Arabidopsis thaliana: one gene and its partner. The protein of the gene in region 1 interacts with the protein of each later gene in a biochemical or structural test. Each region holds a gene or a part of one and is shown in the gene's direction. Other genes may lie near its edges. The genes, in order: AMS and SDG4.

Region 1 (5,214 bases):
GAACGGAATGACACTTGGACTAAATTTTTTAATATGTATATTTTTCTTTCTTAAATCAAAAACTTTACAAACCAATAATTAATGTTTTAATAAAAATTGTTAATGACACAAGCTGCGATTTGAGCTGAGCTAATAAGTTAAAATCATATTTTTCTATCATACCATTATAACATATGCTTAAATATATTCTCAACATATTTTTTTGCCATCCTTAACACTTAAACTTCCAAATGATATAAAATTGATATTTTATTGAATATTATAATACACATGTTCTTTAAGAAAAAAAAGATATCAAAATTACCAACAAAGCTTATAATTAAAAATTGTACTAGCTGAGTCATAAAATTCTTTATTTTAGTTCTGTTTTCCAACTATTTATACCGTAAATATGTCAGAAGAAAATCATATAAAAAATTTGGAGTGGTGTTGTAACAATACTAAACTTTAGGATGTAACTGGTATGTAATCTACTATCTTTTCCAACCAATCGAGTTTGAAGAGGTAGAAACCCACCCTAAAACTCACAATTCATAGATAGTATAATTCTAATAATATAATCTATTTTCTTCTTCTATTATGAAAAGTGATTTATATCACTTCTCCTATTATTAGATTTGTAGTTATAAAAAAAAAAATATTGGTTCCACAATAAGTAATTCTACCTGCAACATACTTTTTTTTAACCAATATATACCTTTCATTAAACAAGAAACCGAATACAAAGTCCTGCCTCCTATAATGAATAACACCTACAACATAACAAGCAAACAGAGCACATTATGAATTACAAAGAGCAAAGCAAGTTGCTAGAAATGAGATTCCATGGAGGCCTAATCTTTGAGCTCTTGACAAAGGATCTAAATGACACCGAATGATGTTTTTAATCTCCATAACGAGATTGTGTAGCAGAGAGTGTCTTTCTTTACAGATGATATACATAGAGGCTTGGTAAGCAAGTCGAATTTACTAATCAACAACAACAACATACTAATCAAATATCCTAAAATGTGTTTATTACTTATTAAAAATTTGATTCTTCCGGAATCGAATTTAAAATCCATCATACAAGCATTAAACTCTTGATCAATGTGCATGGGTAGATCTATGCAAAGCACATAATATAACTATTGAAGACTGAAGAGGAACATGCGTGTAGATATGTATTCAGATGAAGAAACTTACGTCCGACTATGGGAGTGGTTTGTTACGTAATCATGAATTTCAGCTTCATGAAAGGTGGACAGTTGGGTCTATGGATATTTATTAGGAGACAAAGCTAGCTCAGCTTTTGCTAGTTGCTACGCATAACAATATTTATTTGTCGTTTATTCTCAACTCAAATATTTGCATATGTCTTCACACAATTATTTCTGTAAATTTTTATCACTCTATAACATATTTTACGTCGGAACTAAAGAATCAAGGAAAACTAAAATCGAATAATAAGAAAATGACAAAGAAGGGAAAATAAATAGTAGTTGAGACACCGAAAGAAGAATGAATAACCTAAACGCAACGAAGAGAAGCTCTCAACAAAGTTAGTTAGGGTTTTACACGTTATCTTAGCTCATGCAATCTGCCCCTTTCATCATTCTAATTCTTTTTATAATATATACTTTTTATACTAATGTGTTTAGTTACATTCCACATATATTATACAAAAAATATAAAAGTAAATACATACATATACATGATCGTCATGCATGTCCTGCACTTAACCTACCAAAAACAATCTCTCCTAATAAGAGAGAAGAAAGAAAAAAAATTATAACTCAGATATTTTCACACATATATAAATAAAGTTTTGTGGTGACGTTATTTTACACGAAAAAGCTCAACCTTGTATGGAAGTAATTAGCTGCTACCTATTACTGATTATTCTTCTTCTTCTTCTTTCTTCCAATTTCTTGTCTTCTTTTGGTACAATTTCTTGGCTTTCTCTTGTCAAGTTTTCACCAGTCACAAGATTTTTGAGGAGCCTTGTTTTTTCCGAGAATCTTGTGTAAGTTCTTGTTGGCATATTTTCCTCATGATATTTTAGCTCTATCATCATGAAAAATTATACATTTTGTCCCCTCTAGTTATTGTTTCTAATCTCTTTTTTTTGTTACTAACAAATCCATTAAATATTGACGCAATAGATTTGTGCTTTTGTCAGTAATCATATTGAGAGATTAATGGAGAGTAATATGCAAAACTTGTTGGAGAAATTGAGGCCTCTTGTGGGTGCAAGGGCTTGGGATTATTGTGTTCTTTGGAGACTAAACGAAGACCAAAGGTTGATTTGATTCTTTTAATAAGTAGTTAAGCTTTAAAGAGTTTTTATCTCTATCTATCCATCTTTCTTTCTCTTTCGTCACAAATATTTGTTATTGTGGTTTTGGAGGAGACAGGTTTGTGAAGTGGATGGGATGTTGTTGTGGTGGGACAGAACTCATAGCGGAGAATGGAACAGAAGAGTTTAGCTACGGAGGTTGTAGGGATGTTATGTTTCATCATCCTCGGACCAAATCTTGTGAATTTCTTTCCCATCTTCCAGCTTCCATACCTCTTGATTCCGGGTATGATCATCTATAATATATATACAAGCTACATATATTCTTTCATAAGAAACGCCTAGAGATGGAAAAATATGGATTTTGCTATAGGATATATGCGGAGACTCTTCTGACTAACCAGACTGGTTGGTTGAGTGAGAGCTCAGAACCAAGTTTTATGCAGGTACTATTACCCGATTCTTGGAGTTTTGAGTAATCACAATCTCATGAACAAGAAGTATTAATTTTCGGTTTTTCTTATATCCTGTAGGAAACAATCTGTACTAGGGTTTTGATTCCTATACCGGGAGGACTAGTGGAGCTCTTTGCGACCAGACATGTATGTTTATGTCTCAATAATGTTAAGTTTATGGTTTTTTGTATTGTGGTTGTTTGTGATGATGTGTGCGCGTATAGGTCGCTGAAGATCAGAACGTGGTGGATTTTGTAATGGGACATTGCAACATGTTGATGGACGATTCTGTAACGATAAACATGATGGTAGCAGACGAGGTCGAATCGAAGCCGTACGGGATGTTATCCGGTGACATCCAGCAAAAGGGTTCCAAAGAAGAAGATATGATGAATCTCCCTTCGTCTTACGATATCTCTGCTGATCAGATCCGACTCAATTTCTTGCCTCAGATGAGTGATTACGAGACACAACACTTGAAGATGAAGAGTGATTATCATCATCAAGCCTTGGGGTATCTCCCAGAGAATGGTAACAAGGAAATGATGGGTATGAACCCATTTAACACGGTGGAAGAAGATGGGATTCCAGTGATTGGAGAGCCTAGCTTGCTTGTGAATGAACAGCAAGTTGTTAACGATAAGGATATGAATGAGAACGGTAGGGTGGATTCAGGGTCGGATTGCAGCGACCAGATTGATGATGAAGATGATCCAAAGTACAAGAAGAAGTCAGGAAAAGGATCTCAAGCCAAGAACCTGATGGCTGAGAGACGGAGGAGGAAGAAGCTAAACGATAGGCTTTATGCTCTCCGGTCGCTTGTTCCCAGGATAACCAAGGTATCTTGGTTTTCGTCTCTGGGTTTACTTCTTGGTTTCTGAGTTATAATGCGTTCTCTGAAACTAGTTTTTGTGGCATGGAAGTTGGACAGGGCGTCGATTCTTGGCGATGCAATCAACTACGTTAAGGAGTTGCAGAATGAGGCAAAGGAGCTTCAAGACGAGCTTGAAGAGAACTCAGAGACTGAGGATGGATCTAATAGGCCACAAGGAGGGATGAGCCTGAACGGGACAGTGGTCACTGGGTTTCACCCGGGGCTTTCATGTAACTCCAACGTTCCTAGCGTGAAGCAAGATGTTGATCTTGAGAATTCCAATGATAAAGGACAAGAAATGGAGGTTAGAGCATCATAACAAGAAACTAACTCTCACCTTTCTTCTAATCTGAACTCTAAAATCAAAACCTCATGATATCGGTTTATGTTGGGTTGCGGAGTTTCAGCCACAGGTGGACGTGGCTCAGTTAGATGGCAGAGAGTTTTTCGTAAAGGTGATTTGCGAATACAAACCAGGAGGCTTCACAAGGCTAATGGAGGCACTGGATTCTCTTGGACTAGAAGTCACAAATGCTAACACGACTCGCTACCTCAGCCTGGTCTCCAATGTCTTCAAAGTCGAGGTATGATCTAAAGGACCTGCGGAATGGAGAAACAAAAACCAAAGCAAAATATACAAAAACTATATGTTTCTGTTTTCCCATGTTACAGAAAAATGATAACGAGATGGTCCAAGCTGAACACGTAAGGAACTCGTTGCTGGAAATAACCCGGAACACATCTAGAGGATGGCAAGATGATCAGATGGCTACAGGCTCTATGCAAAACGAAAAGAACGAAGTTGATTATCAACACTATGATGATCACCAGCATCACAATGGTCATCATCACCCATTTGATCACCAGATGAATCAGAGCGCTCATCATCATCACCACCACCAACACATCAACCATTACCACAACCAATAAGGACCAATTCCCCAAAGCTATAAAGATGTCTGCTTTACAAGCAAAAGAAACATTCTGCATCAACAAACTTTGAAGATCTTTTCATTTCAAGATATATAAGGATAAAAGGAATGTCAGTTCGAGAACAGTTCCTGTATCCAATACCAGGAATAAACCAAAGCGAAACAACTTTACTTAAATAATCTTTGTTAGAAAAGTAATTTGACAACCCATGACAAAAGAAACAGGTGTTGAAGTGCACCCCTAAAACTTTTAAGTAGGCCCCAAAACATGACCAACCAAAACAAATTCATTTGTCGATATTGTTCGACCAGATGGGGTTACAACTTAGTATCGCTTAATTCTTGTATAACTCCAAAAAAACTCTACTACACACGTTTCAGAAATATCTGAATTTGAAACTTGTAATAGTAAAGAAGCCGCAAACCTTCACTTGGTTCATTGGCAACGATCGGTGTATCCAGCTCCTTTTAGGATTGTGTTATTGCTGCTGCAGATGCTGGAATTCATTGCAGTCAGCTCCTACCTCGCTCAGTGCTGAGAAAAGCTTTGGTGCTATCTTAGCCAGCATAAGCTTAAAACCAACTGAAGTTGAATTAGCGCTGCTGCGTTCATCGATAACCGAGGCATCTTTGGTGAGGGAACCTATGAGATATCCTTTCATGTAGGCGTCACAT
Region 2 (5,565 bases), on another chromosome or scaffold:
CGAACGAGGTAAATTGAAAGAGTAGGTAACTTTTTATTGGCTTTATGGCATAAGATTCTCCAAGGAGGGTTGATTCATAAGACAAGACAACACGTACATACATATCTATATTTAATTGGTATGAACATGGATTATGTTATTGATTTATTTAAAACGCGTCAAACAATTGGATATAATAATTAAAAACTGAATGAATGGTTCGCTTACCAAAGCAAAATATAGTTGGCCCAGAATTCGATGTTGGCATGTTACGACTACATTGCTACATTGTTATCATCAATGTTTCAGATTATTTTTAATTTGTACTTTCATAGTAATTCACCGCAATGAACGATGAGGAACCATCGAATCGGACTAAACGAGGGTAACAAATTTTGAGTAGTAAAGTGTAGTAACAACAAATGAGTGAACAAAAATCGAATGGAACCGTACGAATATAGTAATAATTTTTGTTGTTCGCCTGCTGAATCTCAAATGATAACCTTTAGGATCTTTTTAGCAAATGATAATCAGTTTGTAATCTAGATTTATTTGGAGTTCTTCATTTTAAAATCAAGATAACGTGGATCCGGTTTGATCCGGTCTAATTCAAATTTCATAATATAAATACAAGAATATTTCAACATTAGCCTAAAAATACATTAAAGAAAAGAGTGTAGTATTTTCAAAAGATTTGTTGTATATCATACAAAATGAATGTATATTGTTTTGTGTATAATTATATACAAAGTTGTCGTGAAGTGAACATATATTCTAGTTTGCTTAGTTGGTCCGTTTTTCATCTAAATCGATTCTTAGACGCCATAATTTCTTGCTAAGAGGATTAAGTATAAACTATGTGTACATGGATGAGTAAATTCTTTGGATTATTTAACGATTACTCATTATCTTTGTAAAGTGTATAAAGAAAGGTGAGTATTGCGTGGTGAACTGTGGAAACCTAGACTCAAAGATCAATACTTTATTAGATTTTGTTGCTAAATATGGTCTAACAAAGCAATTTACGCTAGGTATTTTGTTTGAGTATAGTAATCAAATGAAAACTGAATTATCGAAATTTAGACAATAGACACTAACGAAATGAAAAAAAAAAACGAAATTAAGATGTTATACAAACTGATTAATCCATTTATCTTTCACTAGATGAAATCATAGATCATTTTTCGTGAGTCTGTAAAGATGTATGATAAAAAAAAGAGAGTAATTAATTAAAACATACCTAGAAAGCATATAATTTGATTTAAGTTGTGACATAACGAACCTAAAATGACATGTAAACATATCCAAAAACGAAAACGAAATATCTTGTTTATAACTAACAAACCGAACACTGATCAATACGATATACTTTCAAATCATGATTTGATTAATTTTAGCTATTTGTTCAGTTCCGTTTTGGGAACCGGCATTAATCATTGCGTGTAGCACTGTTATTGGTAGATATGAATGTGGGGGATTTTAGTTGGTAAAGAAATTTAACTAGCAGAAAAAATGTTTGGGGGCAATTAAAACAATATTTAAAATACAAGGACCTTTTTGTATAATATTTTAGGACAAATCTCCCGCCTTAAATTCCCTCCATATTTTTTCATGTCTCTTCGCTTTTCGCCTACCCAACAAAGACAAAACGTAACTGTCTTCTTCTTCTTACTCTTCCATCTTTTGTACTTTCGAGTTTAGGATGTTAGATCTGGGAAACATGTCTATGTCTGCATCTGTTGCTCTCACTTGTTGCCCTTCTTTTCTTCCGGCGGCTTCAGGCCCTGAATTAGCCAAATCTATCAATTCCCCGGAAAATCTAGCCGGAGAATGCAATGGGAAACATTTACCAATGATTCCACCGGAGGAAGAGGTCAAGGACATTAAAATTGCTAATGGAGTCACTGCTTTTACCCGGAAACAGAATCCGTCTGACAGAGTCAAGAAAGGGTTTGTCTTGGATGATCATGTGAAGGATTGGGTCAAGAGAAGAGTGGCTTCTGGTGTTTCAGAGTCGACATGTTTCCTTCCTTTTCTTGTTGGTGCCAAGAAAATGGTATGTTGTTTGTTATGTCAAATTAATGACTTGTGAAGTTTTTAGATTTATTGACATATAGACTACATGGGATTTGGATTTTAGGATATACATAATATCTTGAGTTATGAAGTTTGTTTGAAGTATATTGCATCTGTGAATTGAATTCATCACCTTTTTTTGGCTTTAGTGATGTCCGTGTAAGATCTCATATTCATTTAGATATTGTTTGACTACTAGTTTACTTTTAAAGTCATTCGAATCTTCAAGTCAATTAGTGACTAAGTTATTAGATTTATTGACATAATGACTATATGGGATTTGGTGTCAGGTTGATTGTCTTGTTTGCCATAAGCCGGTGTACCCGGGGGAAGACTTATCGTGTTCTGTTCGCGGCTGCCAAGGCGCTTATCACTCGCTTTGTGCGAAAGAAAGTCTTGGTTTTTCTAAGTCAAGCAAATTTAAATGCCCTCAACATGTAAGATCCTCATTTATTGTTTAGAACTAAGGAAGATTTCTCTTCATTTTTATTGGCTGGCTTTGTATTCAATGAAGCAAATCATATTTTGTTGCTCTTATTTTTGGTAGAAATGCTCAGAGAGACGATAGGCCATCAAATAGGATATACTTAACAGTTAGTTCTAAGTAATAGTGTTTAGGTAGGGAATTGAAATGGATTATTTTGATTGTGTGGTATCATTCAGTTTCTGATAGAATGGAGTATGCAGGAGTGCTTTGTCTGCAAGCAAAGAACACAATGGCGGTGTGTTAAGTGTCCAATGGCTGCTCATGATAAACATTCTCCATGGTCAAAAGAAATACTTCACTTAAAAGACCAACCAGGAAGAGCAGTTTGTTGGAGGCATCCAACTGATTGGCGGCTAGACACAAAGGTTGATTTTTTAGTTTACCGCTTTCATAAGATACTTCTTGAAGCTTCTTACGATTTGTACTTTCATAGAGTTTTACTCACAGGACTGACAAAATCTCTGTTGATTGAGCAGCATGCAGTTGCACAGAGTGAGATTGAGGTCAGTGTTTCTTTGCCACGTGCCAAATGTGACTGTAGTAAAGGAAACTAATTCTTACATAGACTTGCCGCTCGAAAATCAAAAAGAGGGAAGAGATTTGAAAGCTGGATATTTTGTTTTTATCTTACACAATTTCAAGAGCTAGGCACTGAATGTTTATCTACTTTCTTATTCAGGAAGTCTTTTGCCAGTTGCCTTTGCCATATGTGGAAGAGGAGTTTAAGATTGACTTAGCATGGAAAGATTCTGTTGTGAAGGAAGATCCGCCTTCTTATGTGCACATTAGACGCAGTATCCTTTATAGTTTCCACATTCAATATTTCTGCCTTAAAAGTACATAATTCTCATTTTTTCACAACATTAGTGTGTCTTTTCCTTGACTGAGTTAAGATATTTACCTCGTTAAGAAAAAGCGTGATAATGCTAATGATGGTGTTGGGTGCACAAATTGTGGCCCTAATTGCGATAGAAGCTGTGTTTGCAGGTATATTTGTTAATTAACCAAACAAATTTTCTCTGTTAACATTCATTTCGTTTTGAATAGTTTCCGTTTTGAAAAATTTCTCTCAGGGTTCAATGCATAAGCTGTTCAAAGGGATGCAGCTGTCCTGAAAGTTGTGGAAACAGACCATTCCGCAAAGAGAAAAAGATCAAAATTGTTAAGGTAAAACTAGTCTCTAGTTTATGATTCTTGCATTACACTCTTCTTGTGTTTTTTTATCTTGACATGTCATGTTATTGGTTTTACAGACTGAACATTGCGGTTGGGGAGTTGAGGCAGCAGAATCAATCAACAAAGAGGACTTCATTGTCGAATACATTGGTGAAGGTAAACTATCTTGATTTGGTCTTTGAGCCTTATGTTTGTGGTGGAAAGCGACAGAGTTTTTAGTGATTTGTTTTCACTCTATCCACAGTGATTAGTGATGCTCAATGTGAGCAAAGGCTTTGGGATATGAAACACAAAGGCATGAAAGACTTTTACATGTGTGAGATTCAAAAAGACTTCACGATTGATGCTACCTTCAAAGGGAACGCCTCTCGGTTTCTGAACCACAGTTGCAACCCAAACTGTGTATTGGAAAAGTGGTAAAGCATATATTATTTCATATAAATATGTCGATGATGCTCGAGTAAGAGAGCATGAGTCAGTTTGATTATTTTGTTCTAACAGGCAAGTTGAAGGTGAGACCCGTGTGGGTGTCTTTGCAGCTCGTCAAATAGAAGCAGGAGAGCCACTTACATATGACTACAGGTCAAGTTCTTGACCATTTGTTTCTTTTATGTGCTTATAATTAGCCTAAGTAATCTGAGATTCTGATATATTAGCTTCTCTCTTTGTGTAATGGCAGATTTGTGCAGTTTGGTCCTGAAGTAAAGTGCAATTGTGGTTCTGAAAACTGTCAAGGTTATCTTGGGACAAAGAGGAAAGAACCAAACTGTTTGGTTGTATCTTGGGGAGCAAAACGCAGAAGATTGTTTCACCGACCTATAGCCCGTAAACCGCAGCAAGATTAGCTGCAAAATATCTATAAACAATGTGCTTTGATAGTTTGTCTGTTGTCGTTATCTAGTAATCTCTGTGGAGATATAGAACCAATCGTGCTTGTAACCGAAGCTTAGGCCCACAATTGTATAACTGCTAGCTGAAGCCACGGGATAGACCGGTCGGTTATACCATACATTCTTTCAGTTCCATTACAACACAATTATTATTTAACCCTTGTCAAATTTGAATCTGATTTAAGAAAATACATTCCCTTAAAAAAAACTATCTAAAGATCTCGCACTATCATGGCAGAAAATTCGACAGAACAAATTTTTTGATATAACCAAACAGAAGAAAACAAATTATATAAAGACTACAATCATATTACAAAATCGCTATAGCAATCTAAGTATCAAGTTTCATCATGTGACTGGTTTCGCTCTGCCTTGAGCTCATCAGGTGATCGAGTTTCAGATCACGACCAGTTGATTAAGGGTCGGCCTAGTCCCCTTTTTTTGTTTTTATTACAGAAAATACAAAAGTTACAGAGAATACAAGGTCGGGTTGCAGATCACGACGTTACGGATCATCGTGGAATGTGGGTAGAAAGACTCATAAGACTCCATGAATTCGATATGTACCTCAATGGTGCGAGGATCAGGTTTCGGGATACGTCTTTGTTGTTGTTGAAGTTTCTCGACTTTGTTGTTTGATGAAAATATGAAATTAATGTATTATTGATAGATAAGTAAACAACAAAATAGTAAAACCCAAAGATGAACCAAGTGACAAATTGTGACAACTACATGGTAGCTATCCTAATTATCGAACATAAATTTTTCATCAAAAGTCTTTAACGAACCAAGTGAATGACATGTTTCAAAGTCGAATACTAATTATTGTACTGGTTTAAAAGATTTGTTCCAAATTGATATGATTTAAACCAGAAGTCTCCGTATGAAACGGAGACTTACTCTTCGGCAAGAGAAGGTTTTAGTCAAAATCCCCATTTTTTAAAAATTCTCAACAAA

What was found.
Region 2: the proteins of AMS (region 1) and SDG4 form a complex in vitro, tested with the Arabidopsis thaliana proteins (one study listed by BioGRID).

The regions. Positions count from the first base shown.
Region 1 is NC_003071.7:7,329,541-7,334,754, forward strand, and holds AMS (basic helix-loop-helix (bHLH) DNA-binding superfamily protein), read left to right. Parts: upstream 1-2,180; coding exon 2,181-2,281; intron 2,282-2,396; coding exon 2,397-2,564; intron 2,565-2,651; coding exon 2,652-2,724; intron 2,725-2,811; coding exon 2,812-2,880; intron 2,881-2,957; coding exon 2,958-3,572; intron 3,573-3,656; coding exon 3,657-3,911; intron 3,912-3,944; exon of another isoform or gene 3,945-4,014; coding exon 4,015-4,191; exon of another isoform or gene 4,192-4,270; intron 4,271-4,279; coding exon 4,280-4,537; 3' UTR 4,538-4,714; downstream 4,715-5,214. Other genes in the region: UBC23 (ubiquitin-conjugating enzyme 23), read right to left, coding at 5,019-5,214. UniProt on the Arabidopsis thaliana protein: Transcription factor. Plays a crucial role in tapetum development. Required for male fertility and pollen differentiation, especially during the post-meiotic transcriptional regulation of microspore development within the developing anther.
Region 2 is NC_003075.7:15,022,865-15,028,429, forward strand, and holds SDG4 (SET domain group 4), read left to right. Parts: upstream 1-1,579; 5' UTR 1,580-1,681; coding exon 1,682-2,035; intron 2,036-2,345; coding exon 2,346-2,492; intron 2,493-2,742; coding exon 2,743-2,907; intron 2,908-3,018; coding exon 3,019-3,045; intron 3,046-3,221; coding exon 3,222-3,336; intron 3,337-3,435; coding exon 3,436-3,529; intron 3,530-3,615; coding exon 3,616-3,709; intron 3,710-3,795; coding exon 3,796-3,874; intron 3,875-3,962; coding exon 3,963-4,134; intron 4,135-4,219; coding exon 4,220-4,300; intron 4,301-4,397; coding exon 4,398-4,563; 3' UTR 4,564-4,808; downstream 4,809-5,565. UniProt on the Arabidopsis thaliana protein: Histone methyltransferase. Involved in stamen development.